2 linked regions of the Macaca mulatta genome follow. The protein of the gene in region 1 interacts with the protein of each later gene in a biochemical or structural test. Links are inferred from orthologs where the notes say so. Each region holds a gene or a part of one and is shown in the gene's direction. Other genes may lie near its edges.

Region 1 (3,712 bases):
TTCGCCTGGAACAGGGCCTTGCACCCAATATGCAGACAGCCGATGCCACGGGGTGAAGGAATGTGCCGGGAAATCTGGAAAAAGGCGACCAGTCACTGTAGACTGTGGGTCACCCTCTGCCTTCTAATCCCCCGCCACTCAGGGGAGAAAGGAGGTAACCACAGGCTGGCTTTTCCAGGAAAGCCGCCGAAAAACCAGACGGACCCAGCGGGACGGCACAGAAACGCTCGGAGGCGCACGACGTTCCGAGGAGGCCCCGACTGCTGGAATGGGCATGTCCGCTGATCTGATCCCTGATACCAGCTACAATGCACTAAAAACTTCTTGGACTTTCTAACTGCTGTAAACGGATTAGCTGGGTTCTGGGGCCGCGCCGGGAGGTGGCGGTGTGGTCCTGCGCGAGCGGCCGGCCGCGTTCAAGTTCAAGCTCCGGGCTGGGAGGCAGCTTCCCGACCTCCGTGTTTCTGTAGTAACTTAAAGAGCCAGGCTGGGGGCCGAGGGGCTCGCGGGGGAGGGTTCCTGCCCCCGGGGGCGGCGGGGAAGGCGAGGGCGCGTGGGCGACCCCGCTCCGGCGGCACAGCCAGGGGGCCCGGCTCCTCCCCGTCGGGAAGACGCGGCTTCTCCGGGCGGCGGGGAAGGGTCCCCGGGGCCGCGCCCGCCCCCGCGCCACCCGGGCCGCGCCGCCCTCGGCCCTCGTCCCCGCTCCCGCCCGCGCTTCCCACCGCCCGGCCAGGTCCCCAGGCCCCTCCCCGGGTCCCCGCCCCAGGCCCCGCCAGACCCGGCGCCGCCGCCGCCGCCGCCCCCGCCCGCGCGCCCAGCCCCGCTCCCCCCGCGAGCGCGCTCCCGCCGCCGGCCGCGCCTCCCCTCCCCCTCCTCCTTCCTCCCCCGCCCTCCCGCTCCCGCTCCCGCCGCCGCCTCCGCCCGCCGCCCCGGCCGCGTCGGGTAAACCTGTTTGGAGAGGCGGCCGCGCCGGGGCGGATCGTGCGGCCGGCGGCTCCCTCGCGGCTCGCGGCGTCGGGGCCCGTGGCGCGCGCGCGGCCGCCCCTCGGCCCCGGAGCCCCTCGGCGGCGCCACCATGTACTCGGGAGCCGGCCCCGGTGAGTCCTCGCGCTCGGGGCGCCCGCCCGGCCGTTCGCGCGCTCCTGCCCGTGGTTGGCGGGCCCGGCGCGGGCGGCGGGGGCCGGGGATCGGGGGGCCGCGGGGTCGGGGCGGCGGGGGCCGGGGGCGGGCGAGCCGGGGCCGGGCTTGGGGGCTCGGGGAGCGGCGGCGGCGGGGCCGGGCCGGCCGTTTTCTCGGCGCCGCGTTGGACGCGCAGCCCCGGCCTCCTCGGCCCCCGCGAGTCGTCGGGGCGCCCCGCGCGGCCTGGGCCCCTCCCGCGCCTCGGGCCCGCGTCCCAGCGTCCGCATCCCCCGCCCGGGGCCCGGCGGGCTGGGGCCGGGGCCGAGGCTGCCGGCGCGTGTAGGCCCGAGGCCCGGAGCGCCCCGCTTGGCCCGGCCTCGCTGCCCGCGCGGGGATGGGGGCGCCGCAGCCCGGCCTGGCCCGGCCCTAAGCGCCCGAGGGGGTGGAGGCCGGCTCGGGGCGCCCGGCTCGGGGCGCGCACGGCCGGGAGGGGAGGGGGCTGCGCCGGTCCCGACCCCAGCCGCCGCGAGTCTGAGGCGCGCTCCGCTGTGGTCCAAGATTCTTGCCGCCAGCACTTCTTCGGCCCCTTTTCCCAAGGAAAGTCTGGAAATGCTGAATTTTGGCCAATTCCTGTAGTTAGGACTGCCGCCTGGAAGGGGGAGGACGCGGCTCCCCGGAACCCTCAAACTGCGTGCGCGGCTCGTTCTCATTCCAGACACGCCGGCCTCCCCATTCAAGTGCTAATTCCTTTTACAATTTCCTAGGAGAGGTGAGGCGAGGTGGATTCCTGTAGCACCCCTTGTTGCTAGTCGGCCTTTCTCTGGAAAAGTTCTAAAAAACTTAAAGCAGTAACGCATTGTTTTTCTTTTTAAATGCAGAGTAGAAGGCGGTTTCCTTGCTGGGCCGAGAAAACGGTCAAGTGTTGTACTGCTTTTGGCGTGCTCCCACCAGGCACGTGGCTCCTGGCTCTCCCGGCCGGCCTGGCCGCTGGGACGGGGCACCGCCTGCTCCCCTTTGTCCGCTGGGCCCCAGTCGGGCCGCAGCCTCGCCAGGCTCGGGGCTTATGTTTACCCGGCCGGTGAGGAGGCTCGCATTCCCGATGCTGCCCTCGCTGCTGCAGACCGGCCCCAACTTGTGCGGCCCGGGAGGCCCCCTGGCCCACCTGGGTCCGTTGATGGGGGCCCCCACTGCTGAGGCTGTTGGCTCTGTGCCTTGCGAATGTCGCGTCTTTTTTCTGATGTCATTTAGAAAGCTTCAACAAGGCGGAGTCTGACCAACTTTTCAAGCCATGAGGGCTATCAGCAGTTTGAAGAATGATTTTCCCCCTACACCTGGGAGGGCCACAGTCCTGGAGCAGATGCTGGCCTCTGGAGGCCCTGAGTGGCCAGGCGCCCTCGTGGGAAGGGACCGGGCATCCCCTTGTGTGAGTTGGGACCTTCCAGCTCCTTCCTATAGAGGAACACAGCACACACGGGACTGACAGCACATTTGTTCAGGTTATCAGTTTTAAAAGTTGGAGGCCCAGAAAAAGTGAAGAGCCTTGAGGAAGGTCAAGCTTTCCGTGTTGTGTTTTGCGTGTTAGTTAATTCGCTCCGCTTGCGGAGGTTGCTGGTGTTTGTGAAGACAGACAGTCAGGGCTCAGAGAAGCTGAGAACTTCACCAAGGTCACGCAGCAGTGAGTGAGTGTTGGGACCATCAGTCGGACTTCCGAGCTGGTTCTCTGGGTGCCTTCCTCAGGGCAGTGCCTTTCAGGCCCTATAACCCAGACCCACAGCAAGAAGTGTCTGTTAGGGCTGGACTGGACCAGCACCTGCCCGCCTACTTGTCATTGACAGTGAGGCTTCAGGAAGCAACCCCAGCTCACTGCTGTTCTTTACTGTGTGCTCTGCCCTGGGACGCTGGCTTGTCGATTTCATTTGTCAGTGTACCTTGGCCCTCAGGATCCGCAGGCTTGTTTCTGTCACTCGCTGCTGTTTGGAGATTGTTGCTGTGGTGTGGGCCTGGTAGGGAGCGGACCCTCTGGAACAGGACAGTGGTTGAAAGAATAAATGTGTCTGCAGGATAATTCATAGCTAATGGCAGGATGGGAATGAACCCAAGTTTCAGGTTGTATAAACGTGCTGTAATTATAAGTCTGTGGTGCAGTTCAATTTTATGCTACACATTAAGGCTTTTAATTTTGTGTAAAAGGAATTTTTGGAATAGTCTTCGTTGAGACTCTTTTTAATCTTATATTTTCTAATTTAGAATTATAAGACATTCCATTTGAATTATAGAAAAATTACATTGAGAGGCCAAGGCGGGTGGATCACGAGGTCAAGAGATTGAGACCATCCTGGCCAACACGATGAAAACCCTGTCTCTACTAAAAATACAAAAATTAGCCGGGCGCGGTGGTGCGCGCCTGTAGTCCCAGCTACTGGGGAGGCTGAGGCAGGAGAATCGCTTGAACTCTTGAGGCAGAGGTTGCAGTGAGCCAAGAGGGCGCCACTGCACTCCAGCCTGGAGACAAAGTGAGACTCTGTCTCAAGAAAAAAAAAAAAGAAAAGAAAAATTACAAATAGTTTTGCTACTTCCAATTGTAACACCCTTA
Region 2 (3,744 bases), on another chromosome or scaffold:
GCCAACATGATGAAACCCCGTCTCTACTAAAAATAACAAAAATTAGCTGGGTGTGGTGACAGGCCCCTGTAATACTAGCTACTCAGGAGCCTTACGCAGGAGAATCACTTGAATCTGGGAGGCGGAGATTGCAGTGAGCCCATTGCAGTGAGCCCAGGTCCTGCCACTGCACTCCAGCCTGGCGACAGAGCGAGACTCTGTCTCAAAAGAAAAAAAAAAAAAAAAAGGAAGCAGTTTCAGCACCTGTCTCACAATGTGCACACAGTTAAAGCACCTACCTTACAGAGTGCACGTGAGGATCACAGGCATGCAAGCCCTATATCAGCCTGTCCAATGGCAATATAATGCAGGCCACAGATGACATTTAAAATTCTGTAGGACCCACACTAAAAAATAAATAAAACTGATATTTTTATATATTTTGATATATTGATCTCAATATATCAAAAAACGTTTATCACTTCAACATGTAACAATTTTTTGAACATTATTTGGTAAAGAACGCATACACCTCGATTCGGACTAGCCATACTTTAAGTGCTCAGGAGCCATGCGGGGCTGGTGGCCCCAAACTGAACAGCACAGCCCAGGCAGCACCGGCGCAGAGTAGGTTCTGCTCACGCCCATGGGCTGAAAGCAACACGGTTGCAGTTGCTGTGAGCACACCTCACCTGGAGCAAACCGGCCTATCAGGGAGTCCACCGAACAGATGTCTACATTTGGGGGATAAATTAAGACAATGTTCTTTAAGCCAGTCACTTATGTAACTCCCACCGATATTTTAACTCCTAGCTACGAGATGTGGTGGGTGGTTCCGACCTATGCAAATGATCAGTGTACATACAGAGGGCCACCGTCTATTTCTCATTATCTGGGGATCCCAGTTGGGGTGGGGGGGCGGAAGTGGGTGTTTGTTATTTCCCCAAATGCGAAGGCCCCTGCACCACTAACGCGGGGAAACGCAGGCGAGTGGGAAGGTACTTTAAAAAGGGGAGGGAGGTGCTCAGAGAGAAGCTAGGCTCTCTGGGGAACAATTACGGCCACGTTACGGTCTGTGGGTGCCAGAAGGGGCAACAATGGAGGCAGTCGAATTCCGAGAGCTGAGATAGTCAGCCAAACTTAGCCGGCCTCGGCCCGCGGGTTCCCGAGGGCCCCAAAGACTCCACGCCACTAGGGTCCAGTCTCGGCACTGGGCCGCAAACACCGCCTCGGCCTCGGCGCGCACACCCGCTGTCTCCCTGCTCCTGAATGGCTGGGGGGCCGGGATTAACCTTTCACCGCTGGGCCCTGTCCAATCACAGGCTCGCTCTCATGCCGCCACGGGGCGAGCGGAGCGTGGGGGCGCGGAGGGGCGGCGCGGGCGCCAGTGGGATTCTCCAAGCGGCTGTGCGCCGTTGCCGCGGGCCGTGCGCAGGCTGCGGGCCAGCCGGGCGCTGCGCAGTCTCCGCAGGGGCCGGCGGGAGGGGTCGAGGCGGAGGCGCGGCGCAGGCTGCTGCAGGCCCAGGTGAATGGAGTAACCTGACAGCGGGGACGAGGCAACGGCTAGCGCGAGGAAATGGCGGCGGGGGCGGCGGCGCCGGGCGGCTCCGGGAGGCCTGGGCTGTGACGCGCGCGCCGGAGCGGGGTCCGATGGTTCTCGAAGGCCCGCGGCGCCCCGTGCTGCAGGTGAGGCGGGCTCCCGCGGAGCAGCTTTGTGTCCGGGGCCGGGAGCGGCAAGCCCAGCCGCGCTCCCGCCTCCGCGCTGAGGCCCGCGTGCCGGCCATGGGCCCGGGCCGCGCGTCCGGGCCTGGCGGGTGCTGGTGGAGGGCGCGGCCTCGCTTGCCTCGTCGTCCCGCGCAGCGCGGCCTGTGGACCCGGTGTCTGCCAACCCCGGCGCCTCAGCGCGAGGCAGCCCTGGGAGACTCTCCGGACCTCCGTGGCGTGGTGGGGGACGCCGGCGCCTGCCCACTCCCCGGCCTGGCGAGGCCAGGGGGTTCTTGACAGGTCCCGTCACGCGCGCGAAAGTGGCGCAGGAACAGCGGAGGTGGAGACACGCGCCCTGCCAGCCGGAGCACCCTGGGGCCCTCCTGTGATGGGGCCGCTGCGCCGCGCTCGGAGGGGACGAAGTCGGGCTCTAGGTCCCTCCCGGGAGGGTCCTGTGTGATTACTGTCAGGGGACCAGATCGGAGCCCGGGGGGGGCGGGCGGGGCCGAGGCCATTCTTTTTCCTCTCCCCTCAGATGTTTTTGTGCCAACATGCCCAGACCCTGCGGAGGAGCCTTTCTTCAGGGTTTTTGATTTTGGGGAAATCAGAGTATGTTTTAAGTTAGCACATCAGATTTATGTAGATTGTCCAGAAAAGCTGAGTCGCCCTGATGGCTCTGCCTGGAGGTCAGAGCTAGCAAACCACTGAGTGTGTCCTTAGAATCCTGAAGATCTGCGGAAACGTGGAGATGAGTGGAGGGTCCTTGGTGTGTAGTGTTCACTCAGTGCTTTTGTGGAGAGAGTTGTGGTTAAAGGGACACGTTACTGGTCTACACGATAAGTAAGTGTTCTTAGGACTTTCAGATTTTAAAAACATTCATCTGATGAACGAGGATCACTTGGACGTCTATGCTTCTGTCTTCGAATATTCTGAATCTTTACAATCCTGATTGTCAGGTGTCTTCGTGGTGCTTGTCTTGAGTCAGTGGAAAAGGACTCAGGTTAGGAGTTAAGTAACTCGGAAAATATTGTTAAAAATGTGCTTTTAAAACAGGTTAGCTATATTGAAAATGTATTGGTGTAAGCGTTAAGTTTTCTAAATAAAAATATACATCCTTACCAAAAAACTCAGTTTACTAAAAGATGGGTTCGGGATAAGCCAGGTCCTAAAGAATAGTAATTTTCGATATTATTGATATCTTTGGGAATTAGGTTCCGGAATAGCCGGTTTATTTTGCAAAGTCTACTTTAAGGCTACCTGTGGCACGTGTGTATTATATGTAATATGTGCTATATACATTCAAAACTTCATTTTAGGGCATATTCCATAAAACTCAATAGATTAAAAAAACAAAAAACTAAAGATTGCTTTTAACATGGTCACTGTAAACATTGATCATGGTAACATATGTTTATAGATTTACTCATGGCACCAAAATGCTGTTTTAAGAAAAGAACAGTTAGTCCATTTTTATGTGGGGAGAAAAGACATTTTCCTACAATCCTTTTTAGTGAGGGCCTGCTTTACTTTTTGTGCTTCCATCTCATGTTTGAAGGGTGAGCCCTGACTGCTGTATTTTGCTGCTGGCTCAGTGTGTGAGTTGGGTAACAGGGTGGTTTTGCTATTATTGAGCTTTATTGTCTTGGTTTTAGAAGACATTTTCTTTTGATGTGGCTCATGATTCTTATTTGACGGTGATTTTGTGGTGTCACATAGTGGGTTGTACAGTACTTGTAGTGCTACCTTCTATAGAGGGTGACTTGTGGCGTTGCGATGTTTTATTCTCTACCACTATCTGACATGTGAGGAGCTTGTTTCATTTGAGAAGGTAGGTATTTCGTAGACATTCTTTCACTTGCGACCCTACCTTGTCGTGGTCACATTTCCACTTGCTCATGGCAAAGGAGATAAGGGAAACATGTTATTGAGTGCTTCCTTGTTATGTGCCAAGATGTTTCAGGTTCTACATACATTCTCTTCTAATCCTTACTGTGACCCTGCGATCAACTCAATATTGCCCTTGTTTTACAGGCGAGGAAACTAAAAGTCCCTGATTATTAC

What was found. The genes of interacting proteins can lie anywhere in the genome.
Region 2: the proteins of AGO2 (region 1) and DICER1 form a complex in vitro, tested with the Homo sapiens proteins (2 studies listed by BioGRID and IntAct). The link is inferred for Macaca mulatta from reciprocal best matches to the Homo sapiens genes AGO2 and DICER1.

What each region holds. Positions count from the first base shown.
Region 1 is NC_133413.1:150,960,059-150,963,770, reverse strand, and holds the start of AGO2 (protein argonaute-2), read left to right. Parts: upstream 1-907; 5' UTR 908-1,075; coding exon 1,076-1,097; exon of another isoform or gene 1,098-1,148; intron 1,149-3,712.
Region 2 is NC_133412.1:168,447,287-168,451,030, reverse strand, and holds the start of DICER1 (endoribonuclease Dicer), read left to right. Parts: upstream 1-1,365; 5' UTR 1,366-1,504; exon of another isoform or gene 1,505-1,665; intron 1,666-3,744. UniProt on the Homo sapiens protein: Double-stranded RNA (dsRNA) endoribonuclease playing a central role in short dsRNA-mediated post-transcriptional gene silencing.